7 linked regions of the Oryctolagus cuniculus genome follow. The protein of the gene in region 7 interacts with the protein of the main gene of each other region in a pairwise test. Links are inferred from orthologs where the notes say so. Each region holds a gene or a part of one and is shown on either strand. Other genes may lie near its edges.

Evidence for each region.
Region 1: the proteins of TRIM39 (region 7) and UBTD1 interact in binary tests that used the Homo sapiens proteins (3 or more experiments, as listed by UniProt). The two-hybrid records come from large-scale screens. The link is inferred for Oryctolagus cuniculus from reciprocal best matches to the Homo sapiens genes TRIM39 and UBTD1.
Region 2: the proteins of TRIM39 (region 7) and UBXN6 interact in binary tests that used the Homo sapiens proteins (3 or more experiments, as listed by UniProt). The link is inferred for Oryctolagus cuniculus from reciprocal best matches to the Homo sapiens genes TRIM39 and UBXN6.
Region 3: the proteins of TRIM39 (region 7) and EIF4A2 interact in binary tests that used the Homo sapiens proteins (3 or more experiments, as listed by UniProt). The two-hybrid records come from large-scale screens. The link is inferred for Oryctolagus cuniculus from reciprocal best matches to the Homo sapiens genes TRIM39 and EIF4A2.
Region 4: the proteins of TRIM39 (region 7) and UBE2K interact in binary tests that used the Homo sapiens proteins (3 or more experiments, as listed by UniProt). The link is inferred for Oryctolagus cuniculus from reciprocal best matches to the Homo sapiens genes TRIM39 and UBE2K.
Region 5: the proteins of TRIM39 (region 7) and POLI interact in binary tests that used the Homo sapiens proteins (3 or more experiments, as listed by UniProt). The two-hybrid records come from large-scale screens. The link is inferred for Oryctolagus cuniculus from reciprocal best matches to the Homo sapiens genes TRIM39 and POLI.
Region 6: the proteins of TRIM39 (region 7) and PSMA6 interact in binary tests that used the Homo sapiens proteins (3 or more experiments, as listed by UniProt). The two-hybrid records come from large-scale screens. The link is inferred for Oryctolagus cuniculus from reciprocal best matches to the Homo sapiens genes TRIM39 and PSMA6.

Annotation. Positions count from the first base shown.
Region 1 is NC_091446.1:32,352,465-32,356,463, forward strand, and holds the start of UBTD1 (ubiquitin domain-containing protein 1), read right to left. Parts: upstream 2,801-3,999; 5' UTR 2,395-2,800; coding exon 2,325-2,394; intron 632-2,324; exon of another isoform or gene 167-631; intron 1-166. Other genes in the region: MMS19 nucleotide excision repair protein homolog, read left to right, coding at 3,277-3,391. UniProt on the Homo sapiens protein: May be involved in the regulation of cellular senescence through a positive feedback loop with TP53. Is a TP53 downstream target gene that increases the stability of TP53 protein by promoting the ubiquitination and degradation of MDM2.
Region 2 is NC_091447.1:59,807,306-59,811,353, reverse strand, and holds the start of UBXN6 (UBX domain-containing protein 6), read left to right. Parts: upstream 1-1,248; 5' UTR 1,249-1,358; coding exon 1,359-1,441; intron 1,442-3,795; coding exon 3,796-3,959; intron 3,960-4,048. UniProt on the Homo sapiens protein: May negatively regulate the ATPase activity of VCP, an ATP-driven segregase that associates with different cofactors to control a wide variety of cellular processes.
Region 3 is NC_091435.1:96,444,626-96,448,837, reverse strand, and holds the start of EIF4A2 (eukaryotic initiation factor 4A-II), read right to left. Parts: upstream 2,801-4,212; 5' UTR 2,402-2,800; coding exon 2,373-2,401; exon of another isoform or gene 2,309-2,372; intron 1,617-2,308; coding exon 1,571-1,616; intron 1,481-1,570; coding exon 1,348-1,480; intron 1,232-1,347; exon of another isoform or gene 1,164-1,231; intron 1,063-1,163; coding exon 923-1,062; intron 143-922; coding exon 1-142. UniProt on the Homo sapiens protein: ATP-dependent RNA helicase which is a subunit of the eIF4F complex involved in cap recognition and is required for mRNA binding to ribosome.
Region 4 is NC_091433.1:33,549,090-33,553,360, reverse strand, and holds the start of UBE2K (ubiquitin-conjugating enzyme E2 K), read right to left. Parts: upstream 2,801-4,271; 5' UTR 2,729-2,800; coding exon 2,666-2,728; intron 1-2,665. UniProt on the Homo sapiens protein: Accepts ubiquitin from the E1 complex and catalyzes its covalent attachment to other proteins. In vitro, in the presence or in the absence of BRCA1-BARD1 E3 ubiquitin-protein ligase complex, catalyzes the synthesis of 'Lys-48'-linked polyubiquitin chains.
Region 5 is NC_091441.1:23,987,528-23,991,532, forward strand, and holds the end of POLI (DNA polymerase iota), read right to left. Parts: intron 2,935-4,005; coding exon of another isoform or gene 2,740-2,934; exon of another isoform or gene 1,698-2,739; coding exon 888-1,697; 3' UTR 501-887; downstream 1-500. UniProt on the Homo sapiens protein: Error-prone DNA polymerase specifically involved in DNA repair. Plays an important role in translesion synthesis, where the normal high-fidelity DNA polymerases cannot proceed and DNA synthesis stalls. Favors Hoogsteen base-pairing in the active site.
Region 6 is NC_091443.1:40,254,564-40,258,586, reverse strand, and holds the start of PSMA6 (proteasome subunit alpha type-6), read left to right. Parts: upstream 1-1,223; 5' UTR 1,224-1,228; coding exon 1,229-1,358; intron 1,359-4,023. UniProt on the Homo sapiens protein: Component of the 20S core proteasome complex involved in the proteolytic degradation of most intracellular proteins. This complex plays numerous essential roles within the cell by associating with different regulatory particles.
Region 7 is NC_091436.1:139,953,702-139,956,085, forward strand, and holds part of TRIM39 (E3 ubiquitin-protein ligase TRIM39), read right to left. Parts: intron 1,572-2,384; coding exon 1,549-1,571; intron 1,001-1,548; coding exon 885-1,000; intron 213-884; coding exon of another isoform or gene 187-212; coding exon 1-186.

The sequences.
Region 1 (3,999 bases), on a different chromosome or scaffold from region 7:
GATGTCTTCTATCTGCTGGTTCACTCCCCAGATGGCCGCAACGGTCAAAACTGGGCCAATCTGAAGCCAGGAGCTTCTCCTATGTCTCCCATGTGGCTGATTTCACAAACACCTTCTGGGAGGGGACTACCAGCTGTGGGTAATGGATGAATGAAGACAAACTTACTTGCCTTTGGTGGAGACCGCACTTCAGCCTAGAAGAAGAGTTGGACCTGAGCCGGTGACAGGGGTGCGAAGTCGAGTGGGAAGGAGCAGCTTCGCAAGACCTGCAGGCCTCAGTGACTGGCAGGTAGACAGAAAGCAAGTAAGCCAAGATGTCATCTAGACAGTCCTGAGAGGCACAGCTTAGGCAGCTGAAGAATGTAAGGAAAGAACGCAAGTGGCTGGCAGGGAGAGATGCAGACTTGCATTAGATCTGAGGTCAACATCAGCATCTGGGGGCCTTTAGAGATGTGGGTCCGGGGTACAGGGGAGAGGTAATAGCTGAAGATCAAGTGTAAGAGTCTTCCCAGTCGAGGCCGACTTTTGTGGCATAATGAGTTAAGCTGCCGCCTGCCGCTCCAACATCCCATATGGGCACTGGTTCGAGTCCCAGCTGTTCCTCTTCTGATCCAGCTCCTTGTTAATGCACCTGGGAAAGCAGCAGAAGATGGCCCAAGTGCTTGGGCACCCACATGGGAGACCTGAATGAAACTCCTGGCTCCTGGCCTCCGCCTGCCCTAGCCTGGGTCGTGGAGGCCATTTGGGGAGTGAACCAGTGGATGGAAGGGCACTCTGTCTCTCTCTCCCTCCCTCCGTCCCTCTCTGTAACTCTGACTTTCAAATAAATAAAATAGATCTTAAAAAAAAAAAAAAAAAAAAAGTCTTCCCAGTGGACAAAGCCATGGGAAGGAGCATAGTAAGAGAAAAAGTGTTCAGACTGCACCGCAGGAGTCCCGCTCCTCTGAGGTGGCAGCGCCAGTGGGCAGGAGTGACCAGACAGGAAAACCAAGAAGGCAAGGGGGCAGAGTTTCAAGTAAAGGCAGGTGTCAACAGAGGAAAATGCTACAAAATCAGTTACCAGGGCTCACTGCAAAAATAACAAATATTTGTGGGATGAATGAAAGAACGGAAGGAAGGCAGGAAGCCCTTGAGTTGCCCATCCACTTTCCTCAGTCAGAAGAATGGCCCGGGCTGCCCTCCGACACCGGGGTTTCGGAGTTAAGTCTCACCCCTCCATCCTATGAAAACACGTCTCTTCCGCCACAAGCCATCCTGTGCACCGCACAGACATCCTTCCCTGCCTCCCCGACGGTTTCCCATCCTCCTTCCCGGCTTCCGCGTCGGAGCAGGTGGGAAACTGAAGTTCCCACTTCATTCACAACTCTGCGTCCGGCTCCCCTTCCACCAAGGGCTATGTGGCAACGGGCAGGAGGAGCACGCTGGCCGCCAGCCCCACTCGCACGGCTCACTCGCTGTGTGACTTTGGACAAACCCGCCAGCCTTTCGGGACCCAGCCTTTTACTCAGAGCGGAGGAGGCGGATCTGTCTGGAACCCAGACAAGTTTCGGCGCTCCTCCGAGCACTACAGTCTATGATTTTATCATTCTCAGAAGGTCCTTGCAACACCCTCGGAGAAGGAAGTGAGACCCAGAATGACCGCCGGCCCTCTCCGAGGGGCCGAGCGCCAGGACTGAAGGGGCGCACGGCGAGAGTGAGACGGCGCGGCCGGTCCCGCGGATCCCCAGAGGGCGCGGCCCCCTCCCAGCGCTGGCGCGGAGCCCCGCAAACCCGAGGGCGCCTCTCGCTCCGCACCCCACCTCGCCACAACTCCCAGACGGCCAGGAGGCTCTAAAAAGCCCTGCGGGGGGAAAAAAAATAAAGATTTCTTTCCCAGAGTCCTGCGCTGCTTTTGCAAGTCGGATTCCGGCAGACGCGATCCGCAGCCCGAGAATGACACAGTCAGTCTCGGGAAGGAGCGACCGACCGTGCCGAGTCGTGGGGCCGCCCGGCAGTTCGCGCCGCGCCCCGACGGGCAGGCGTCCGACCCCGGCCCGGGCTGCCAGGCCGCCGGCGCCCTCGCCCCCGGCCCTCCTCCCCGCGGCGGCCCCGCTGCGGTCTGCGAACATTTCCTGCCCCCGCCCCCACCGGCCACCCGGAGCTTCCCAGTTGGAGCGAGTTGGTCTCGCAGCCCGGTCGGCGTCCCCGGCCTCGTCAGGCTCGGAGCTGCGCTGGGAGAGCCCAGGCGCCAGGGGCCGTGGGAGGTCGCGCCGGGAGCCCAGGGCCCCGGCGAGCAGGGGCCGACCGGCGAGGTGCCCGTGGCCCTGCTCGTTCCCCGTGGTTACCTGCTCGCTTGCGGGGGTGTCCTGGGGCGGCTGGCCTCTCCCCGCGCTGTCTCCCCACGCAGTTGCCCATGCTGGCTCCTCAGCCGGTCCCCATGCACCGGAGGCGGCGGGGTGGTCGGCTGCTCCGCGCCCCTGCCCCGGACGGCGGCGTCCCGGGTCAACGGCTCCTGCCGCCCGGCATCTGACGCTCCGGATCTCCCCCCGGGGGGGCGCGCTCTGCCCCGGCGCCGGCCTCGCCACAAACTTTGCGGACCCGGGGAGGGAGGGAGGGAGGTGGCCGACTCCCCTGCTCAGTCCCAGGTGGCCGGGCCAGGGGGGCCCGCGACGGTGCCCGGCCGGAGACCAGCCCCGCTGAAGGGGCGGAGAGAGGGGGCGGGCACCGCCGCAGCTACTCCCGGCTCGCTTGGGGCTCCCAGCTGGGGCCGGCCCCCCGCAGCCTGTCACTCACCTGCCTAACCCCGCCCCAGCCCGGCCCCACTCCCTTCCGCCGGCTCGCGGTGCCCGCGCCGCCGCCGCCACCCGCCCCAGGTGCGCATGTGACCGACGGCACCGCCCCCTTGGGCCGGGCCTGATTTTCTCATTGGCTTCCCCCAGGGTGCGTACCGCCCCTCGGCCCCACCCAACCAGGTGTCCTCCCCGCAGCCCGTCTCCCGGGGAGCCGGGCCGGGAATTATTCGCCCTCAATGGCCCCCGACTGCGTGCCCAGCGAGCCGCCTTCGCTCTCCGCGCCACCGCCCCGGCCCCAGGCCCCACCCCTCGGGGAGGGGCCTTCCCTCCCCTCCTCTACCCTCCCCTCCCTGGAACTGCCCGATCAAGAGCTGGCGGCCACGTGATCCAGGGAGCGCCCCGCCCCCGCGGCATCCACCCAGCGATTGGCTCAGGGGGCGCGTGCGCAGACAAGCCTGTCTCGCGCCTCCGCCTCCTTCCCCTCCCACGGTCGCTCGTTAGCGTCATGGCCGCCGCCGCCGCTCCCCAGGAGGCGGCGGCGCCTACGGGCCCCCTGTGGGGACTCGTGCAAGACTTCGTCATGGGTCAGCAGGAGGGCCCCGCTGACCAGGTGGCTGCAGGTACGGCAGACAGCGCCGGGCCCCTTCCGCTTGGGGGCCGACAGGAGGGAGCGGCCTCAGCACAGGCGCGGAGCGGGAAGGGAGTGAGGGGCAGGATGACTTTGAGAGATCAGTCTCAGGGCTGCTTAGTGAGCATCGAGCTTAAGAAGCGTAACAAGTTGGAGAGTCGCGCGCATCTTCCATACAGCGCTTTTACTCTCGACGTCTCCTCACAGCCAACGGTAGACCGTCATTACATGTCACTGACGAGGAGACGCAGGCCCGGAGAGCTGCGGCGCGGGCGGGAGGGGAGCTGGGGCTCAGACTCGGGAGTTCAGGTGGCTCGGGCTGCCGGCTCCGGGAGACCACATTGTTTGTGGAGATTGACGTGGGGAGGTGACTGCTGGGCGCGTCCGCTCGCGGCGCGCGGCATCTTGGGAGTGGCTGTAGTCGGAGCGAGCCGAGCGGCCAGTCGGGGCAACTGGAGGTGGTGTCGCATCCGCCTCTAGACTTTCCCTCTGTGTCTTGGTGAAGTTCTTGATTACTTTTGCATCGTGACTTTTGTGCGGCATTATTTTTATCTTTTTCCCAGATCCCCTGTCTCCTCTGCTTTGGACCTGTTCAGGGAA
Region 2 (4,048 bases), on a different chromosome or scaffold from region 7:
AGGACTCGAACTGGCGCCCAGCCCAGCACGCCTCGGCGCCGGCCCCCATGGTGCAGCTGCCTGAGCCAGCACCGGCTCTGTAGGGGCTCTGGTTCCAGTCCTGCTTCTCCCCAATGTGGCTCAAGACAGCCCCCGCCCCCTGCCTGGGGGGCCCGCGTGCGGTTCCTAGAGCCTGGCTTGGGCCTGGTGCAGCCCCTTACAACAAATAATTCTTTAAAAGGGTCCCTTTGACAGTGAAAATTGTGCCCCCTTGTGGCCGGTGCGGTGTGCCTAGCAGGTGTCCCGGCCGCTCCGCTCCCGATCCAGCTCCCTGCTGTGGCCTGGGAGAGCAGCGGACGATGGCCCAGGTCCTGGGGCCCTGCACCTGCGTGGGGGACCCGGATGGAGCTCCTGGCCCCCGGCTTCTGTTGCGACCATTCGGGGAGTGACCCAGCAGGTGGAAGACCTCTCCCATCCCTCCCGGCCTCCCTCCTAAACCTGCCGGGCTCCCCGATGCACACAATTCTGTCTTCCCCACGGTCCGACCCGGCAGCTTGCTCAGGGCGAATTCAACAGAGGCACCCGCCGCTCTCACACGGGCCCGCGGCCGCGCTGTCCCCACCAGGGTCCTCCGTGGCGGGGGTCTTTTATTCCCAGCACCGTTTTGTGGACAGGGAACCCTCGTTCGGGAAGGCGAGTTTGCCTTGACTCCGTCTGCGCCCGCGGGGGGCTCTCCCACCCCAGGGCCCCCCCCTCGACCCCCTGCTGACCCCCAGGCAAAGGTCCTGGGGCTGGGGGCGGCCCCTCGCCCCCTCCCCGCCTATCTCCCTCCAGGGCCTGCGCGCTCAGAGTTTTTTTTGGGGGGTGGGGGCTCCCCTTTGCCACTCGGTCGGTGCACACCCCGCTCCTCTCTGCCTTGCCGGCCCAAGCGGCCCCCAAGGCCCCATGGGGCTCGCGGGGCGCCGACTGTGGGCAAAGTGGGGCTGGGTCCCGGGGGACCTTGAATGGGGGCTTTATGACGTAAGCGCCCGGGAGCCAGGGGCGCCCCTGACCGCTTCTCCGCGCGGCCCAGCCGGCCCCACGGTCAGCTCCCCGGGGCCCAGGCCGGGGACTCCCAGCGCGGCGGCCCGCGGGGAAGCGCGCTCGTCGCCTTGGCAACGGAGGCCGGAAGAACCACCGAGACGCGGCTTCAGAATACAGAGCGGCCGCCTCCGAGGTACCCGGGTCGATTGTCACGTGGGCGGCCCGCGAAGGCGGGACTTCCGGCTCCGCGCTATTTTCTTTCCGGTTGTTAGCTTCTGTCAGCCCCTCCCTGCCTGGGCCGTGCGCCCCCCCCCCCGCGCCCGCCGCGGCCCCCCGCCGCCGGGCCCCCCGCCAAGATGAAGAAATTCTTCCAGGAGATCAAGGCAGACATCAAGTTCAAGAGCGCGGGGCCCGGGCAGAAACTCACAGACTCCGCGGGGTAGGGGACGGTGAACGGGGCAGGGGGCTGGGAACCGGGGAGCGGGGTGGGCGGCCTCTGGGGACCGGGGAGGGGGCGGCAGGTGCGGCCCGGGCTGGGAGGGGGCGGCCGGGCGCCGAGGGGCGCCCCTGGGGGCGGGGCCGATGCGGCTGACACTCCGGTGGGCGGGGCCGATGGGGCCGGGGAGACAGCTCGGGGGCGCACCCCCCGAGGGGCGGGGGAGGGGCGGGGCTTGGGAGGCGGGGGCGGGGCGTGGGAGGCGGGGACGACCGCGGGGCGGGGCGGGGGCGGGGCGTGGGGGCGGGGACGACCGCGGGGGCGGGGCGTGGGATGCTTGGACGACCACGGGGGTGGGGCGTGGGAGGCGGGGACGACCACGGGGGCGGGGCGTGGGAGGCGGGGGCGGGGGCGGGGAGTGCAGGGCGTGGGTTTCTGGAGAGTCTGGGGGCGGGTTGGGGACGACCGCGGGGGCGGGGCAGGGGCAGGGCGTGGGGGCGGGGACGACCGCGGGGGCGGGGCGTGGGAGGCGGGGCGTGGGGGCGGGGACGACCGCGGGGGTGGGGCGGGGACGACCGCGGGGGCGGGGTGGGGGCGGGGCGTGGGAGGCGGGGACGACCGCGGGGGCGGGGCGTGGGAGGTGGGGATGACCCAGGGGCGGGGCGTGGGGGCGGAGCAGGGCGTGGGGGCGGGGACGACCGCGGGGGCGGGGCGTGGGGGCGGGGATGACCGCGGGGGCGGGGCGTTTGAGGCGGGGGCGGGGCGTGCAGGGTGTGGGTTTCTGGAGAGTCTGGGGGCGGGTTGGGCGGTGGGGTAGTGGGGGCCACGTCCGCGTTTCCACGAGAGGAGGGGCCCGGGGGATGGGGAGGGCTGGCGGGAGGGGCTAGGGTCCGCCTAGGACAGATAGAGGCGGCGTACAGGGGAAGTAAGGGGGTGGGGGGGCCTTGAGCTGGCGTGGACCAGGGGCGTCTCCCTGCTGCCTCCAAGACCCCCGGCCTCATCCCACCCCGTGGGACTTTCTGGGCGGGAGACACAGGACGTGTGGGGGCTCTCCAGTGGGGACCGCGTGAGGAACAGGCAGGCGGTGTAGACAGGAGCAGCGGGGAGCCCAGTGTAGACGGGGGAGGCAGGCACCCCAAGTGGGCGGGCCTTCAAGGCCACGGGAAGGGCTGGCCAGGGCGTCGGGGAACTGAGTCTCTGGGGGAAGATGGAGCAGCCACAGGGCCAGGGGGCTTCCTCGGGGGTCCTCTTGGGCCAGCAGCCAGCCGGGGGGAGGCCTCGTCCAGGCCGCTGCCCACGGGCGGGGAGGGGTCGCCCAGGGGTCTGCCGGGGCCCACGGTGGAGAAGGAAGGCGAGCCCCCCAGATCCCAGCGGCTCGGAGCCGGGGCTTGGACGGGGGGCTCCCGGCCGGCCTGCTCAGCGCCTGTCCGCGCGGGGCTGTGTCCACGTGCCCCTGCGGCCGCCCCCCGGCCTGCTGGACTGGAAGCCGCCGGGTAGCAGGGGTCGTGGCTGGCATGTGGGCTTCCCAGAGCCGTGAAGGTTTGCAGGGAGATTTTAAGATTTATCTCTCATTTATTTGGAAGAGTCAGGGAGAGAGGGGCCGGTCCCTCTGCTGGCCCACCCCCAACGTGGTCAGCACGGCCAGGCTGGAGCCGGGAGCCTCAGGTGGGCCTCACAGGGGGCCCACGCACGTGGGCCGCTGCCGCTGCTTTCCCAGGCTGCTCTCTGGGGCCGGCGCTGTGGCGCAGCGGGTTAGAGCCCTGGCCTGCAGGGCCACATCCCATACGGGCCTTGGTTCGAGTCCCAGCTGCTCCACTTCCAATCCCGCTCCTTGCTGTGGCCTGGGAAAGCAGTGGATGACGGCCAAGTGCTGGGGCCCCTGCACCTGCGTGGGAGACCCGGATGCGGCTCCTGGCTCCTGGCTTTGGGTTGGCGCGGCTCCAGCCATTAATGGCCTTTTGGGGAGTGAACCAGAGGATGGAAGACCTCTCTCCCCAACTCTTTCAAATAAATAAACATTTTAAATATATTTTTTGCTGATTGGAAAAGCAGAGAGAGGAGGCTCCCACTTGCAGCCATGAGCCGGGGACTCAGCCCATGGGTGCGGGGGGGCCCTGCCTGAGCCGTCACCCCTGCCCCAGGGTGCTGGGACCCGGGCTCGCGGTGTGGGCGTCCCCAGGGTCTCGGGGCCGTGAGGAGGCGGCGACCTGAGCCCAGGGCTGCAGCCGGGGGGGGGGGGGCGGGGGAGGCCGCGGGGAGTGGTGTCCCCGGGGCCGGCAGGGCTGGGTCTGCGTGCCAGGGCAGGGGCGGGGCAGGAGCCTCCCCTCTGATCTCGCGCTGCCTCGGTCACTGCGCAGGGAGAAGGCCCCCAAAGAGAAACCCAGCCAGCTGGCTCTGAGGCCGCCCCGCCAGGGACCCACCGATGAGGCGCAGATGGCGGCCGCCGCCGCCCTGGCGCGGCTGGAGCAGAAGCAGCCCCGGGCCCGGGGCCCCACGTCGCAGGACTCCATCCGGAACCAGGGTGAGCCGCGGCCGTCCTCGGGCCGGGGCCGGGGCCCTGCTCTGGGTAGGGTTTCCCGACCAGCGCCTGCGAGCCTGCAAGGGAGGTGT
Region 3 (4,212 bases), on a different chromosome or scaffold from region 7:
ATACTCTCCCTGGTGTACCAACAACGATATGTGGTGCTTCTGCCTGCAATTTTTGCATTTCATTCCTAACGTTTGTTCCACCAATGCAGGCATGACAAGTTGCTCCCATATAGTCTCCAAGTGCCAGAATTACCTTTTGGATCTAAAAGCCAAAATCGGTAATTATTATCCTGTAGGGCTGCAGTTTCTATGACTAACTGCCAAAGCATAATGGCAAGTTATCTGGTCTGCCAATAGCTTTTATGCATGCACAGCAAACTACTTCCAAGCTTAAAATGCAGACTAACTGCTTCAAGAATAAAATTCCCTGTCTTTCTTATGCCTCAAACTGATCCTCTTGCCCCAGATTATCTGCTAGGCAACTAAAAAAAAAAAAAAAAGGAAGCACATCCTATCTTATTCTTCATTATGTAGGAAAGGTGTAAATATTGATTAAATTCTGTTAATTACAGCTAGGACAAATGTTGGTCATTTTCCCCACAGGGAACTGTACCTTTTTATGATCTTGACCATAATAAAGCCTGTGGCTTTATTAGGAAGGTTTACTTCAAAGCCAATTTAACAGTAAGCTTTGAAAACATAGCATGCAACAGATGCATCACAAACTACTGAGACAGTCAAATGGTAACATGTCACTGCAGTTTTCATGTTGCACAACTGCACTTGAACGTAAGGAAAATGGATATAGGAATGGGGTATCCTGAACAGAAAGCTTCACAGCCTCAGTCTGGGGAGACAACCCTACACACAGTACCTAGACACCCAGTTCCTATGTAACCTCCAACAAAAACTCCCTGCATGCATGGACAATTAAGAGGGCTCTGACAGGACTAATTTACCCTAAATTTTAAATTCTTCACAGTTGTGAAACCTGAAACCTATGCAACACGCAAGCAGTTTTTTTGAACTACACTATCAATACCTGTTGAGCCAGTTCTCTGGTGGGGGCCAATACTAGTGCTTGGGTCTCCTTGAACTCAATCTCCAACTGTTGCAGGATGGAAATAGCAAATGTGGCTGTCTTGCCAGTACCTGACTGAGCTTGAGCAATCACATCATACCCTAAAAAAAGTAGGATACATATTTACCGATCCCACATCAAATTGTCACTTCTACTTCACACCATGTATTCCATTTGGAACATAAATTATGCCCCAATAATCAAGTGATCAGCAATGAGTATTCTGTCATTTCAGGTCAGTCCCGAAAGATGATTGCCATCATTTCACTTTAAGGAATACAAACAGGTGCTAGTCCCCCACAGGTTCCGCTCCCTTTTATGGTCCAGGTCTATCATTAACAGTGAATTCACTTTCTGTTTTTAAATGCTAGAGAGTTTTCTTTTACCTTTAATGCAAGGAATAATAGCTCTTTGCTGAATAGCTGAAGGCTTCTCAAAACCGTAAGCATAGATGCCCCGAAGAAGAGACTCCTTTAAATTCATATCATCAAAGTTATCAACAATCTCATTCCAGTTGCTCTGTTAAGTTTAAAAAGAAGTTAAATGGGATAAATGAGATGCGCGCGCACACACCTTTGCAAGGCTTCAAAATCCACACCCATTTCTCACCTCGATGACACCATCGGGGTCCATTCCCTCTGGGCCGCCATGTTCTCTGCGGGCAAGTACACAACAGCAGTTAAGACAGCTCCCAAGCCGCCGCCACCCGCCTCGCCTCGGGGCCTGCCCCTACGCTGCCCAGAGAGCAAACGCAGCCCGTGTGCGGGCCACGCAACGTCCCGGCATGTCTCCTGCGGGAGAGCCCCAACGCAGGCCCCGCCAACACCAGCCCCTTCCCCCCGGGCTCTCCCGTTTTGGCGACGAAGATCTCGCGAGAGCTCCACGCGCTGAGCTCCGCCCCTGACACTGCGCAAGCCGGGGTGATTGACGCGGCCGGGGCGGCCCGGCGAGGGCAATGCCAACGGTTCGCCCCCAGCCCCGGTGCCGGTCCAGTCCCGTCTCCTTCCGGGCACGGCGGAGTGGACCCCGCTGCCCCCACTGCCCTCAGGCTGAAGCCCGAGACCAACTCGCGCCGTTGACCGCAAAGAAAGCGTCGGCCCCTACCACCCCGTTCCGAATGCGGATTGGGCCACGGCTTTTATTTAAGATATGTACCGTGTTCCGCACGGCGAGGAGTGAAGGCCGAAATTTCTAGACGTCTTTGAAAGGGGAGACCACTCCAATTCCGTAACTCGCGTCCCCCTGCAGTCCTACCCATCATGGAAGCTTCTCGAAGGACTCGGGGGGGTATTTGTAGCCCACGAAAACACCCGTGAGCCTGTTGCTTCCTGCCCTCACAGCACTCACCACAGCCTCCCTGGGCGCCCTCTGACCTTCACCACAGAACACCACCGCCGAGAGGCCGCCATACCTGTTGTAGTCCGCAGAGCCACCAGACATGTCCGAACAGCCACTCAGCGCCCGACTGAAAAGACAGCAGCGCCGTGCCACCCGTTTTTTATAGGCTCGCGGCCGGAACCCGTTTTCCGCGGAGGAATATCGTCGCCGCGCTTTGGTTAGTCCCAAAATTAGAATCCTGGGGCCGTTCTCTCAGGAAAGATTCCTAAGGAAGTCAGTGGAAAAATTCACATGTCGTAATTTCTCGATATTACAGGGTTGCTGGAAATCCCAAAACCTGGAGGCGAACTAGGGCTCTTTGCGTGGCGGCGGAAGAATATTGCAGCAGCGGCGGCCGCACGCCGCGCTCCCCGCCCGCCCCGCCCGCCTGCTCCTACGGGGTTTCCGCGGCTCTGACGCAGAGGCCGAGCCGGGCGGCGGGCGGCCGGGAGCCGGAAGCCTGCGGCGCGCTGCGCGCTCGGTGGCCGGGCCGCGGTCGGCGGGCGGACTAGCGGCTCCTTGCCGGGGCTCGGCTCCTGCAGGGTCCCGGCGTCTTCGCTCTGCTCCGCAGGGCCAGGGTTCTTCTGCCATGTCCCGCGGTCAAGAGCCGCCCAGCAGTAAGCCCGACCGTTGGACATGCATTCAGATCTTTGGAGAGATTCCGACTAGGGAAAATGTCGGCCACCCAGCACGTCCCAGAAAATCCGGTTGGCCGGTGCATTTTGCAGAGCAAGGAAAAAAATCTTAGTGTCGTCGAGACTAATATCTGTGGTAGTAACTCCGTACTCCATCTCCACTGATCCTCTCTGGTAAAAAATCGTGCTGACGATTCTAACCTAACAGGTGTGAGGATCATTATAAACTTCTTTCAAATGATGAAAAAAAAAAAAAAGCTAAGGAACAGGAATTTTCCTTGCACTGAGGGAATGTAAAGCGGTGCTTCCGGAGGTACCGGTCTATACCTCTTTGGAACTAGATGCGTTTTGATTCCGGTCCGCATTGATCATTTTTAAAATGATTTTGAGTTTTAGTTGCCTGTGTATAGTGAAATGTTGATTTACTGAAATTCAGAGCAATACAGTCCTTGCTGCTGAAATAATCTGCATGATTCCTTAAACTCAAGACAAGTTCTCAACTAGCTGCAACGCAGGCCCCTTGGGTCGAAATAAAAACAATATATTTAATAATTTATTTGTAAAATACAATCCTATCTATAATCAAGATATGACTGCCTAGGAAGATGCTTTCTTGTCATTTCGGATCAACCTAGTCCCCGATTATTGGAGAAACTGACTCAGCTTTCTGTATTTTAGAAGGTACTTGATTCTAAATGCCACTTATTTCTTGTTCAAGACATCATCTATGTATTTGAAGATTATGGTTGTGCCGGGAACTGTGACAAAAATGAAGACTACCAAGGTGACAGCAGACCTGGTGTTCAGTCTGGTGCTGCTGCCACTTACCTGTCCCCCCGCGGTGTTCAGATCCGGAGTTGAAGTGATGCCAAGCATTTTTGGAGAATGATAGCACTTTAGAGACTACTGTAGTCTCATCTAAAAATCTAAAACTACCCTGGGACCTAAGAAACTGAAGAAAATATGAATTTAGAGAAGTGACTTGCCATTTAATTACACTTGAGTCTTAGGGTGAAATTAGTGGATGGTGGGGTGAAATCAATCAACAATTAACACCTAATTGTTGAGCGGCTCCTTCAGGGTTGTTACTATACTAGATGCTGAGGAGAGGAAATCGACAAGGGCTAACTCTATGAGTTAGGTCAGGAGTGCTGAGGGAGTTTCAAGTTAAGAACCCATAACGGAGTCACCATCCACACCTGCGGTGCCTGTAACCTTACAGTATAATTCTTTAAAAAA
Region 4 (4,271 bases), on a different chromosome or scaffold from region 7:
ATTATTACCTAAAACTCAATTTTAGAAAATAGTTTCCAACAGCTACAAGATGGATTTCTAACACTGTCCTAAGGAAAACAGGCTTAGATGGTGCCTTTATGTATTTTATTTAGTCTGAACAGATCTCTTCATACCCTATACACCCAACCCCCCTACACAAAAGAAGCTACTTTTACCAATTTCTCATGATGCTTTCACCTGCACAAATACATATTCTAATAGTTGTGTATAACCTCTTGTGACATTAGCTATCTTCACAAAGACACAAAAGGGCTCCCCAAAAAAGGGGGGGTCTTTAAATCAACCACTAGTTTTAGTAAACACAAGAACAGGAAATAAACTTCAGTAAACCAGAGATTCACATAACGTGACATGACGAAATAACTTATTACTGATCGGCCATTCAAAATACTGCATTTATACCCTTACAAAGAACACCAGTCCTTCAATAAGCTGAAAATAATCAACATAATCTACTTATATAACTGGGCCCACTAAAATATTGATGAAAATAAAGCTGTTTATTAGTTATATTTATTTCAAGATTAAACTGCTTGACCTTAACTAAAGGTTCTTCGCAACTCACTTTCTCCGAAGCAGTTTCCTTCCAGATTTATAAAGGTACTTTAAAAATAATTTTGTTTGTATTTCCTGCTTGCTTTCTCTAAAATACTATGACACTTTTAAAAGTAAGGCTCTAGTAGCCCTTACATTTAAAAAAAAAAAAAAAGATTATTTTAACAATATGCACTTCTAGGGTAATACAAGTATTTCTGGTAATCCTCAACTTAAGTCCTTAAGAATACAATGATAAAGTCACCTCACATAAAGCAAAAAGATCACGTGAATTACCTGAAGCAGTAACTTACCACTTTTAAATAATACAAAAAAAAAAAAAAAACACCACAACTATTAGTTCATTAAGTTTCAGGCTTGTACACCCTTATTATAAAGGAAATGTTTTAGGATGTTAGCAACAATATTAGCCGCAATTCTTCATTAGGAATATATACATCAACTACCCTGGAATACATCTTTCTTATCATTACTAAATAGAAAGTTAGTACCACTGTTTCACTGCACACTCTCCAGACATTAATGACTCTATTCTGCATTGTACCACAAAAAATACAAAGTCATCCTTCCATTCAGAGTTTTGGCATATGAACGAACACAAAGGTCAGAGTTCATACACATGCTCTGTAGAGCTGATCATGACTTACGTACTACTATAGTCAATAGATCTGCTAGTATTTGTCATTTTTGAATTTTATAATGATTTTCTCCACATCTGATGTATGGAAAGATGAAATCACAGTAGATTCAATGACACAAATAAAGCTTAAGTGCTATTAGACTATGTCAATTACTCATCACATCCTGGGAAGGCTGAGTGTCACAAATCTTTATTGACATTATCAAAGCAACAATTAGAAAAGACACAAATAGCAATGATATATTCAATAATGACATGGGTGTGGATCTCGAAAATAGTAATTTTCAGTAGTTATGACAAACTGTACTGACACTTGCAGAGTTTCGAGTCAGAATTACTAGGACATTTTAAATACCTTACATAAGTAAATGTGGTCAGAAGTAAGGCATCTAAATTCTGCAGGACTCAACGGCAGAAAAAGACAATTTAAAAATAAAGAATATGCTATGTCAAGAGATGTATATTGAGTTAAACCTACTCAATTAAGAGACAACAATGTATTAACAGGGTGAAATCCTTTGTTTTTAATGGGTCTATTTTTAAAAGACACAAGTTTTAACCATGAGGGACATCATAATGGAGTTTCATGGCCCAACACGAGTCACAGAGGCATTGTCTTGAGACAGTCTGATATGTAACCTGTAAATAATGTTCTCAAATAAGCTACTCATTCACTATTTTTTCCTTAGCTAAAAATATGTAAATATCTTTAATACACTACCTAGCCTCTGCCCCGTTAAAAAGCACTAGATGTCAATAAAGAGGCCTAGGAACTGGGGGGCACGTGGAAAGGAGATAAAGATCTCATTTGGAATTAATTCCCTATCTCAGGTGAAAATTCCTTTATCCCATCCCCCAAACAAGCTAGTATCCCATTATGCCTTTCCTGTCTCCCCACGCCTAACTAGGAGGGAATACCTCTGCATGTCCTTCTCCTTCCCCCAGCACCTCAGGGCTCTCATCGCTCCTCGCCTTCGGAACGGACAGCAAAGGCCTAACAGGCAACAACCCCAAGACCCTTCAGAGTGTGGGCCTTGGAGCAGCGCTGCTCTCCGGATCCAGTTACCACCTTTCCCCTTCCCCCAACCCACTTCCCGGGTTTTCTCAGGCCCGGCCTTGCTGCCTTCCCACACCCCACAGCCACACTTCCAGCTGCTGCCACCGCCTCGAGGCTCGGGAGAGAGAGCTCGTACCCCGCCGCGGAGTGCACCCCTCTTCATCCGCCCCCCCCCAAACCGTACTCCTCCCCAGACCACCCGCCCGCGAGCCGTCCACCCCAGGGCCCTAGAAGGGAGGGGAAGGCGGCGGGAGGAGGAGGGGGAGACGGCCGCTTCCCCACAGGCAAAAGGGCGGCCGCGGGGAGGGCCACCGGGGATATCGGGGTCGCCGCTGGGAGGGCCCGCCCGCCCTGGGCCTTGGTGGGGGAATGTCCGGGAGTTCATTTCTGACCTCCTCGCTCTTCAGCACCTCCTTGAACTCCCGCTTGATTCGCTGCACCGCGATGTTGGCCATGTCTCCGCCCGCAGCTGATTCGTACCCGCCTCCTCCGCCACCGCTACGACCACCGCCACCGCCGCCACCTCTTCCTCCACCGCCTCCTCCCTCGGAGATTCAGATCCCAGCACACGAACACCGCCGCTGCCACCCCGGCCGCCGGGCTCTGCTCTGTGGAATCACCTCCGCGCCCGGCCACCAAAATGGCGCCGGACCCGCGCATGCGCACGACACCGACCCGGCCGGGCGGCGCAGCCGCTCCCGTTGTAGCCCCATACGCCTCAGCCACGAGCCCGCGCCGCGCCGCGCGTCTCAGCCGGAGCTGCGGACGCGTGACTCCGCCCTGCCGGCGTCTGGGGCCGGGCGGGTGCGGCTTCCGCGCTGGCCATCCCTGCCTCGGCCTCTCGGATTCGCCGCTGCGCCCCTGCTTCCCCCCACCCGCGCCTCGCTTGGACGACCCCCAGTGTGGTACTGGCGGGGCTGCCGGCCCCTGGCCTCTGCATGGAGGCCCGAGCCCGGCTGAGGGCTTCCTGCGGCCCCACGCGGCCTGAGCGTCGCCCTGACTCAGCCGGATCCGGGCTGCGTGTGCCCGCCGAGTCTGTGTGAAAGCGCGGCCCCGGTCGGCCCAGGGTCGGTTAGGACAGCCCCAGAAAAGCCACCGCGGTGGCTTGGGTTTTTTTGCTGGTTTTTTTTTTTTTTTTATGGTTTTTTTCTTTGTGGGGGGGAGAGGAGGGCAGAGCATGACTGCCACTCTTAACAATGATCATCTGAGGGACTACCCGTCATTAAACTCAGGGCGGCTATTGTTGGAGCCCATTGCTTCTATTTGAGATAGGTTTCCCCTGGAAAGATCTGAAGTGGGTTTAGAAACCAGATACTGACCGCTAATCTGTGGAACTAAAACCTTGGTTTTCAAACTTGAGTGTTCATCAAAACCCCTGGAAGTTTTTTTCTTTTCTTCTTTTTTTTTTTTAATCGTATTGGTGAGCCTCGTCTTTAGAATGTAGGCTGGGGCCGACGCCGCGGCTCACTAGGCTAATCCTCCACCTTGCGGCGCCGGCACACCGGGTTCTAGTCCCGGTCGGGACGCCGGATTCTGTCCCGGTTGCCCCTCTTCTAGGCCAGCCCTCTGCTGTGGCCAGGGAGTGCAGTGGAGGATGGCCCAAGTACTTGGGCCCTGCACCCCATGGGAGACCAGGAAAAGCACCTGGCTCCTGGCTCCTGCCACCGGATCAGCGCGGTGCGCCGGCCGCAGCGCGCCGGCCGCGGCGGCCATTGGAGGGTGAACCAACGGCAAAGGAAGACCTTTCTCTCTGTCTCTCTCTCTCACTGTCCACTCTGCCTGTCAAAAAAAAAAAAAAAAGAATGTAGGCTGGGCCTAAGGAGGTGCCTAACAAACTCCCTGCCTCTGCTGCTGCTGCTGACGATGAACCACTGGGCCAGGCTTGTGGAAGTCTACGCATTAAGGTGAACACTGGCCAACAGAAGCTCCTTACAGGGATGGTGTTGGGGCCTAGAGCCTGCTAAGGTGGCTGGCGCTAGTAGGCACTCAATCAATATT
Region 5 (4,005 bases), on a different chromosome or scaffold from region 7:
TATTCTAGAAAATATTCCCTCTCTGTTTTGCAAATTATAAAATGGCCTCGATTTTATACCCAATTTTTAATCTAGTAGGCAAAGGCTGAAGTCAGTAGCAATGGAAGAAAGCCAATATAATTTAGTAAATGTGTGCATTACCCTCCATTGCCTCTAAGCCCTAAAAACTGGCAAGAAGGAAATGGACTTCTTCCATTATCTCGTATGCTCATTTCTATTCCATCTATCCTCCAATCTACTTTTATGGAGAGTTCCTTCTACCACTATTCTGTACAATAAATACATTTCTTTTCACCTCCAACTGCCTACACAGGTACTGGCCACATCATCCATTCATTCAATATTTACTGAATGCCCTCTGTCTTCCATGTACTGTGACAGATTCCAAGTATACAAAGAAGGATTAATGGAATATATACTGATTTGATATTTTACAAGTCAACTTATTAAATTAAATGGTATTATAATATTTCAGTCAAAATTAGCTACAATTTAATAGGTTAGTTTGCAGATTTTTTATTTGGCTGTTTCCAAACAGGTCGACTTCCTGTATTTCACAGAAAACAGACTGTTCTTCACCAGAGCACAGCAATGACACAGGGAGTCTAATTTTTGTATGTAGGCATATACATCTCTTACTCTCAATTTAAGGAAAATGCACAAAAGCTGACCATGATATTATTTTTATTGAAAAGCAATATAAAATGGAAATAATATGAATATTTTACATTATTTCTTCTGTTATATTTTTATGCTTTGTGCTGGAATTTACTTCCTGAAACATTTTACATTGGATTTCCACATTATTGGATATCTATTAGTGTTCAATTAGAACAGCTTAAAAAGCTGCTAATCTCTAGCTTTTCAGACCTTTCTTCTTAACATGTTTACTTATGTACAATGTGCAGATCTGATTTTGTTCTCCTCCACTCAGCCAACAGTTCTTTTTGTACATCTTCTGGCAGTTCATAGAAAATTTGAGGGTCAATGTCAGAAGGAAAAGTAATTTTCTCGTCAGCAGAATCTTGCTCTCTATTTTCTGTAAGTCTTTCATCATGAGAACCTGTTGCTATTGTTTGCTTATGGCTATGTGCAGTGTGGCTTTTAGTGAATAGTTGATCACTTTGCAAATTTGGAAATGAATGAAAAACTGATACAGCAGGGTTTGTATTTGAAAAGTGGAACCCCTGAGATTCTTTAGATTCTTGACCTGTTCTTTCATCTTTCAGTCTACTATCTACATAATAATCCTTGTGGCTAGACAGAAAAGAAGAACTACTGCTATTTAAGCCTGATGTTCCAGGTTCACACAAAGAGGATACCTCTTTGCTACTGGATAAATGATCTCTAGTATTCAAGGGAGTATCTCGCATTTGTTTTGTAGAGAAGAAAGACAACACTCCTCTAGAGGCATGCAATGGACAACTCAGACTTTCTTTTCCTTGAAAATTCTCTGTAGATTTCCCAGAAAGGATTTCTTCTTGAATATCTCTTGGAAGCTGCTTAAAGACTTCTTGGTCAATACCCTCAGGAAGTGAATGGAGTGGAAATTCATTAATATCTTTTTCTTTAGAAAAATCTGCAGTATCTACTGGAGACTCCCCAGTCCTTGTACTTTCAATTCTTCCACTTGGTACAAAACTCCAATTTGTTTTTTTGTCTTTAGAAAAATCTTCCATATGAGTGTCTTTTATTTTCTAGAACACAAGGATAACAGAGTAATTTAGATACCTGACATCTTTTAAACACCGTCACTGCTGAAGAGTGCCAGTAGCTAGTATCTGACAAAATGTTTTTATCCTACTCAGCAACTTCAAACCTTTATGTTCGGTTCCAAACAACTACAGATGATTAGTCTCACACTGCTGTATGGGCCTTTACTCACTATTCTAGGAGGAGGCTTCCTTTCTAGATAGCACTAAGTCAGAGCAGTATTCAGAGGCCTAGAAAGATCTTAACAATCATGTGTTCAAATTTGCAATACTATAAATAATAGAATGGCCTTAAAAAAGCTAATTGATTCATCTAAGGAAATATTTTTTAAAAGGCAGAAGTATGGGGCTGGCGCTATGGCACAGCCGGTAAAGCCGCTGCCTGCAGTGCCGGCATCCCATGTGGGCACCAGTTCAAGTACCGACTGCTCCACTTCCAATCCAGGTCTCTGCTGTAGCCTGAAAAAGCAGTAGAATATGGCTCAAGTCCTTGAGCCCCTGCACCTGTGTGGGAGTCCCAGAAGAAACTCCTGGCTACTGGCTTTGGATTGGCATAGCTCTAGTCATCCCAGCCAATTGGGGAGCGAACCAGAAGATGGAAGACTTTCTCTGCCTCTCCTTCTCTTTCTGTACTCTGACTTTCAAATAAATTAATAAATCTTTAAAAAAAAATAGGAATTTAACATCAAGGACTGGTATTCCAAAAATTACTTTTATTATAAAGAGTAACTTTAAGAAAAGCAAAAATGATTTGGTAATGGTAAAAGTTGACATCATTAAGATATAGCATTATTTTACATGTAAGTAAAATAAAAATTTAAAAACCTCCACTTCTCATTTGTACAATATGATTTTTCACTTAAATTTCTCCTTTAGCTTTAAGCTCCATTAAAATGTATATATTTTCAAATAGTACTCAGTAAGCATCAATATAATAATAACTTCAAATATTAAAAGGAGGGGCTGGCGCTGTGGCGTAACAGGTAAAGTCACCACCTGCACTGCCAGCATCCCATATGGGCCCAGTTCAAGTCCCGGCTGTTCCACCTCTGAATGGCCCAAATCCTTGGACCCCTGCACCCACATGGGAGACCCAAAAGCAGCTCCTGGCTCCTGGCTTCAGACTGGCACAGCTCCAGCCATTGCAGCCACTTGCAGAATGAACCAGCGGATGGAAGACCACTCTCTCTCTCTGCCTCTCCTTCTCTCTCTGTGTGTAACTCTGTCTTTCAAATAAATAAATAAATCTTTAAAAAAATTAAAAAGAGTACAAGAGATTAACATCATATTTATTAAGCACCTACAGTATGTTAGACATATGCAAGGTACTTACATTTATATTTATTTCTATAATGCCACAGTAAATTAGCGGTCTAAAATTCCTATTCTTCAGATTAATTAAAATATAAGAAGTAAAATTTTTTAAAAATTTTCTATAAATGGAATAAAAAGGATACCAAAAAAAGTAATTTAAAAAGGGCATTCAGCCACTATTTACATAATACTATATTTTCATTTTTAATATAAGTGGAAAGAAAATATCACTAAATTATAGTATTAATTAAATTATAAATTTAAAATTTTTTTGTTTTAGTTAAAATTATAGGCATTAACAATTTAATAAAAGATTTTTTAAAAAAACATGCCAAATTTACTAAATTTTTAAAAAAGTTTTAGTGTTGAAAATGCTGGTTTATACCTCTATGTATGCAGTTAATTTCTACAATTCTAAAATCAGTAGTCATTTCTATCAATATTTATCAGAATACAGTATCATTTCAAAACTAAGAAAATTCAAAGACTTGAGCTACAAAGTTGTCAGAAGGGTGCTGGCAACATATATATAAATTGATAATAAGATCTGATCTCTAGTGTCTGAAGATATGCTTATATTTATGAGCTAATCCATCATATTCTGTATACTGGTAGAAAATGTGTTCACTTCCAAAACAGTGACTCTCCATAGTGTTTTTCTCTTTTACTCAGGGATGCTACGTCTTCTTATTAGAACACAATACATTTAAGGTCAGCAACCATAATATGGTAGGTAAAGCAACTTCAGTAAGTTTGTGGGAAAGTGGAATTAAAAGATAAGTTCATTTTGATGCCAAAAAAATTGCAATCTACACTTGTAAAGGAGTCTTCAAAGAGTTTACAGAAAATACATATTAGGAGAAAACAATGCATGGATTTCAAAAATTTTTTGCACCAAAATAAACTTATCTTTTAATTCGCTTTTTCTATAAATGTTCTGAAGTACTCTCATAGCCCAAACAAGTAAATCATCCAAACA
Region 6 (4,023 bases), on a different chromosome or scaffold from region 7:
AGCAGCCCCATGGGAGGCAGGAGGAGAACGTGAATAAAAAGGGTAGTCCAAAGCACTTGGAAAGGGCAGAAAGGAGAGAAGAGCCGCTTCTCCCGGCCCCATCCCAGCGAGTGCCCAGCGCTCTGCTTGTCTGATTACATAAGCGCAGGGAATTCCTTTCAGGGGTCTTCTTAAGAGGAAGCCATAGAAAATAGCAAGACGGCTGGTGCTGTGGCATAGCAAAGTCACCACCTGCAATGTTGGCATCCCATATGGGCACCAGTTTGAGTCCCAGCTGCTCTACTTCCGATCCAGCTCCCTGCTGATGATCTGGGAAGGCTGTAGAGGATGGCTCACGTGCTTGGGTCCCTGGATCCATGTGGGAGATGCTGAAGAAGATCCTGGCTCCTGGCTTCAACCTGGCCCAGCACTGGCCATTGCAGCCATTTGGGGAATAAACCTGTAAGTGGAATCTCTCTGTGTGTTGCTCCCTTTCTCTCTCTCTCTCTCTAACTGTGCTTTCCAAATAAATAAATAAATAAATCTTAGAAAGAAAAGGAAAGAATGGGATGAAACAAAATACGAGACAAGAACACAGATGAGTGAATGTCATAAATCTTGAAAAATGCATTTTCTCTTGTCATCTCCATTTTATGGTGTTTGAAGATTTCCTGAAGTTCTCTCTACCCAAGTTTGCTCTTTGTTGGCAGTATTTGATCTAATGAATGCTTCCAGGGACTCTACTGCAGACACAACTCGCTCTCAACTGAGAATTGAAATAAGCAGGAAGACAATTATCTAGTCACTAATGGCAGCTAAAGATAGTTTGTTTTGCTACCAGAGGGCTCTCAGCAGTATACTCTTGTCGAATAGATTGAGTTGTTAAGATAACCATGATAATTTGTTATAAATAGCAATAATGTGAAGGTTTTTTGGTAGCTGCTGACAAAAATGAGGATGTAGAGAGTTCGTTTCAACCACATTAAAATTAGTTCCCAACTCATCTCCTTGGAGCTATTTAAAATCCAGCCCAAGAAGCAAATATTTGGCTTCAATTTCTAATATGTTAGAGGAATACATTCATTTTAAAAAGAGGCCAGATCAGATTGCCTCATCTGTCTCAGCCAGACTAGAACATTATTAAGTCTTGAGTTCAGTTCACATCTAAATAAAGGTCATTATTTAGGGAGGTTTCTTGTGCTTTCTGTGACTGCATCAGAACGGAATGTCAGTGTCCTGAGAGGTGCCAATGGAATTCCCTGACAGTTCTGTCCATTTGGCTCTGCTGGAGCAGAACGGTGTCCTGACAGGATGGGCTAGAGTTGCCAGTGCCATGAGACAGGTGCCGCTGGAGAGGGCTATGGCAAGTCTTCAGAAAAGTAAGTCCCTCCGCCAGACTGGGAACCTGAGGTGTGCTGTGTTGCTAGTTCTTTGAACTACATGGTTCTTGTGTTCCTCTTTTCAGTGACCATGCCCTAAAATCCACAGCTGTGTTTTCTTCTGTTCTCTGCTGCATAGCTGAGGAGTATATTGCTATCAGGTTGTTACACTATATATGCCCACTTTCCTGTACGTATATTCCAATTTTTAAAAAAAGGATCATTCCCCGTGAACTCTTTTGAAACACGCTTCTTTTACAACTGACAGAAAATGAAAACTTTTCCTTGTACTTACAGTCTTCTACCACTCCCTCATGTGCTCTATTATGGAATTGTAAAAATGTAAATTCACAAAAAGAAGCAACTTTTCCCCCCCACTTAAGTTAGGGCATTACTATATACCTACCGAAAATATTACTTGCCTCACATAGCCGTACACTCAAAACCTTCCACTCAAGGCTTACTTGTATTCAGGAGGAAATTTGTGTTCCAGGAAGCTGTCACCCTGATAATAGCTATTGACTCAAATTGAGGGTCATGTCCTTTGGCACTTAGTCCTGTTCTGGCAGGCGTGGTCAAATCCTTGATGAAATGGGTCTTTTCCAAGTCCAGCCCTCTGATCTCTGCTCCTAAAGAAATAAACTCTGCTCAGACCATGTTTTTGAAGAGAAAGTGTAAGGAAAAATTAATTGCTGCTTTACCTAGATAAAGAGTTTTTTTTTTTTTATTTTTTAAAGCAAGTCATGTGATTCCTTTTGTTTATGGACACGCCAAAGAAAGTTTATTTGAGGAAATCACTATTGAACACTGTGTGCCTTTCAGATGTCAGTAGGCTATCTGAGAGTACCTTAAAACATCTGTGGAAAAATGGAATTAAAAGATGTTTGTTTTAGTGCAAAAATATTTTGAAATCCATGCATAGTTTTTTTTTTATTTTATTTTATTTTTTTTAAGATTTATTTATTTGAAAGGCAGAGTTAGAAGGAGAGTCAGAGAGAGAGCCATCTTCCATCCTCTGCTTCGTTCCCCAAATGGCCACAACAGCCATGCTGGGCCAGGCTAAAGCCAGAAGACTGGAACTCGATCCGGGTCTCCCATGTTGGTACAGGGGCCCAAGTACTTGGGCCATCGTCCACTGCTTTCCCAGGTGCATTAGCAGGGAGCTGGATTGGGAGTGGAGAAGCCAGGACTTGAATAGGTGCCCATATGGGATGCTGGCATTTCAGGCAGGGCTTAACCCACTGTACCACAGTGCTAGGCCCCTGAAATTTTTTCATAATACATATTTTCCATGAACTTATTTCTCCTACCTGGTCTCAACTATTTTCTAACCTTACACTGAGGATTTTTTGGTCCCTATGAGATGGGAAAACTAGATATTTTGATTATTTAAATATTACTTTAAAAATTCTGGTTTCAGAATTTCAAACTTGCAAGTTCCTCATTTTGACCAGTCTTCTTACTTGCCCCATTCCTTCAGCCCAGCCACCAGTTCCTTTGCCTGCGCTTTGGCCTATCCATTCCTGAGGGACACAGACTCTATTGCTCACCCCCATCTGGCTTTACCTGCCTTCCTTCCTACCTCACCCACTCCCCAAGGCGTCCGTATGAAAGGGTAGCTCCTGTAGCAGTTAGCAAATTCTTGTATTCCCTTAACCTCCTGTGAAGTCTACCTTTTCAATTCCAGACCTAATTTTGAGAAGCATAGACCATTCTACTTTTCTACTCTGATATACCATAGTTGTGCTATTAGTCAGGAAACTGTAACTATTGAAATTTCACTCCCATTTGACGGTCCTCTTTGTCGTCTGACATTGAATTCCTAGTCATTTCCTGAAGGCACTCTCCTGGTCTTTACAACCTGATCTTGAGAAACAGCAAATCTGGGGCTTCCGTTTCCTTTTCTGTGAAATGAGGAAGATGGCCTGTCTCAGTACTCCTCCAAATTTAATAGGCATAGAATTATCTGGGAATCTCACTTCAAATGCTACTTCCTTTTTTATTTTTTTAAGATTTATTTATTTATTTATTTATTTGAAAAGCAGAGTGACAGGGAGACAGAGAAAGAGACATATTCCATCTGCAGGTTCACTTCCCAAAGGCCCACAACAGCCAAGTCAAGCCAGGCTGAAGCCAGGTGTCTGGAACTGCATTCTGGAGTCCCACAGGGTTGTCAGAGTCCCAGGTCCTTGGGCCATCTTCCACTGCCTCCCCAAGCACACTAGCAGGGAGCTGGATCAGAAGCAGAGCAGCCAATATGGGATGACAGCATCAAAAGAAGTGGCTTAACCTTTTGTGCCACGAGGCTGGGCCCTCCGGTGCCACTTCCGATTCAGGTCTGGCATCCCCCGTGATGCCAGTACCTCAGACCATTATGTGAGTACTAAAGGCCTCCATGAGCTCTAAGATTATTTTAAAAACTAATACTAAAACAACACTCATGATTCCAAGTCCTGAGTCACAACCTTCCCACATTCACTCACAGCAGACTTAACCAGAAACTGAAACACCACCTTTTATTAGGCTCTTCAGCAGTGTTTGCCCTTTCCAATGACTTTCCTATCCTCAATCTTCTCTCCCTTTTTCCTCCCCCTAGGTTACTTGTTCCTCCTGCCTCCATTCTGTCCCTTTTTGCTGAGTTGGGATCTTCTCGCAGTTCATTCCT
Region 7 (2,384 bases):
CCTCCACCTCCCAGTAGTGTCGACCTGAGGTGAAACCTTCAGTAGCCAGGACACAAGGGTAGAAGGTGAAACGCCGTGGTGTGTCGGGGAGATCCCGGAGTCTTGTCTCCACGAACTTGACGCTCTTACGGTCTTCTGATAGGACTAGGTTAGGATGAGCAGTCTCGGGGTCCAGGGTCACATCCGCTGGCGGGAGAAGCCAGAGTGGGGAGCTAGATGAGGATGGGAATAGCTAAATGTCCCTGCCTCACTTTTCCAGCCTGCCTCTACAGAGCCTGGTCCCTTAAAAGTTACCTCTCTAACCCAGGGCGTCTCCTGAGGGAGAGGAGAATGAAGGCTACCCTTCTCATCCCGACCCTGCAGGGACCACTCTAAGGTTCCCACTCTCCCTGTCATCCTCCGACATCATCATCTATTGCTCTGTACAGAGAGGTGCAAGGCATGGTCTGAGGGCCAGGAAGGAAAGTGTTATGTTAAGAAAGATACAGAGCAAGACAGCACTATGGTCTACGAATAGGGTGAGGTGTATGTGTTTTCCCAGAGCTGTCCTGGTTAATGACCACTTTCCTTGCATGAATATTAAGGACACATCCTTTCACTATTCAGCTCATCCTAGCTTTAGACGGCCACCCTATCTAACAACCTGGGCAAACTATTTAACCTTTCCAAGTCTCTATTTAGAAAAGTGTGGATCTCAGAGTAGGTGATACCTAAGGCTTCTTCTCATTTTGAGTTCTGTGACTCAGGGTGACATTCAAAGTTGGGTGAAGATGGGTGTGTGAATGAAGAGAGACGGGATAACTGAAGCCCACATAAAGTAGGGTCTGAAGACTTTGTTCTCTCTGGCAATTCCCTCTGCTAATTTCCTTTTGGGAACAACTCACCAATTAGCTGTTTAAGGATTTTCCTTAGGGCAAAATACTGTCGGGGAAAATTGCTGAAGTTCTTTTCCAGCTCTATAGATACTGAAGTCACTTCCATGGTCTTCACCTTCTCACATCTAGGAGGGGATGGGGAGATTAAGGGCAAGGTTAGGGGAAGCTGAAGCCAGGCGGCTATCAGATGTTGTCATCTTTAGGGAGAAACTAAAACTCCATCTTCCCACTTTCCCCTCCTCCCTGAAGACAACTGCTTCCTTTCGCCAATCCACAGAGAGCCACTGGTTCCCGGGACAGATTCTTATGTTGACAAGGTCAGTGGTGGGTGGGTGGGGGGAAGGGGTGTGTCTTATATTTCATGCCCATGGGTAAGCCCATTGGCTCCACCAACCCGTTCCTCCTGCCATCTTGCTTGGACGTAATTTACCAATAGACGCAAGGAGAACCTGTTTCTATGTTATCATTCTTCTTACTGAGGAAGTCCTGATGCTCAAAGGGGAAAAGGGATTATTAGTCCTGATGATCTGTTCCCTAACTGGTTTCTTGGACCTTCTCCCATATCCTACCCAGCCTGTATGACTTTCCCCTCATTATTCCCCCACCTCCTTACTGAACTCCCAGCATCTAAGACAAGCCCTAACTCACTCAAAGAGATTTAAGAATCACTTACTTTTCCAGGGTACTTTTGACATCCTAGAGGGAAGGAGAAAAGAAAGCAATATTGGTCCTGGTATTCAAGGGTCCTGAAGGCAAAAGGTTTCCCCTCCTCCCCAAAGCTCTAGATCTCTAAAAAGGCACAGAGAAAACTGAGGGTCCCAGTGCAGGGCGAAGAGTTCCAGGGGCATCCGAGCTTCTCTCCCAACTGGATCCCCATTTTCAACTTTTGGTCATTGTGGAGCTTGATAATTTGAATCACTTCCAAATGGTTTCTTGGTGTTTGTCTTTGCTCCTCAGGCTCACTGGGAGCTCCCTGCAAGGGACAGGGATTGTGTCTGCTCTTCACTCTGTGCCCCAAGTACCAACCACACACTGTGTCTCCCTGAGGATCTCAGGACAGAGAATTCTGACTGGCAGCACAAAACAAACCACTCTTTCCTGTTGTGGTTTGGTATTCCCTAGCCAGCACTGGTTAATGAACATTAACAACTGCGTGCCAATCCTAATTTGAGAATACTTGGGGTCCAGAAGACAAAGAAGACAAATCTCTGCCCCTTAAGGATTTTCCAGTTTAATGTGGAAAGCAGAACACACAGACATGAAGAACACGGGAATAATAAATACCGAGCAATACACAACATGCATATAAATGTACAATGAAGCCTCAATGATTCAAATGCTGGTAATCTGATATCTAAGATAAAAAGTATGTCCCCTACAGCCTGGCTAATATGATTTATCTGTTTAAGAGAATAACACTACTTCAAACATTTTAGAGGCATCATTGGTATATCAAAAGCAAGGTATTCTTTACAAGTATCCTTTAAGCTATGTTTCTGTTCTTCAGCA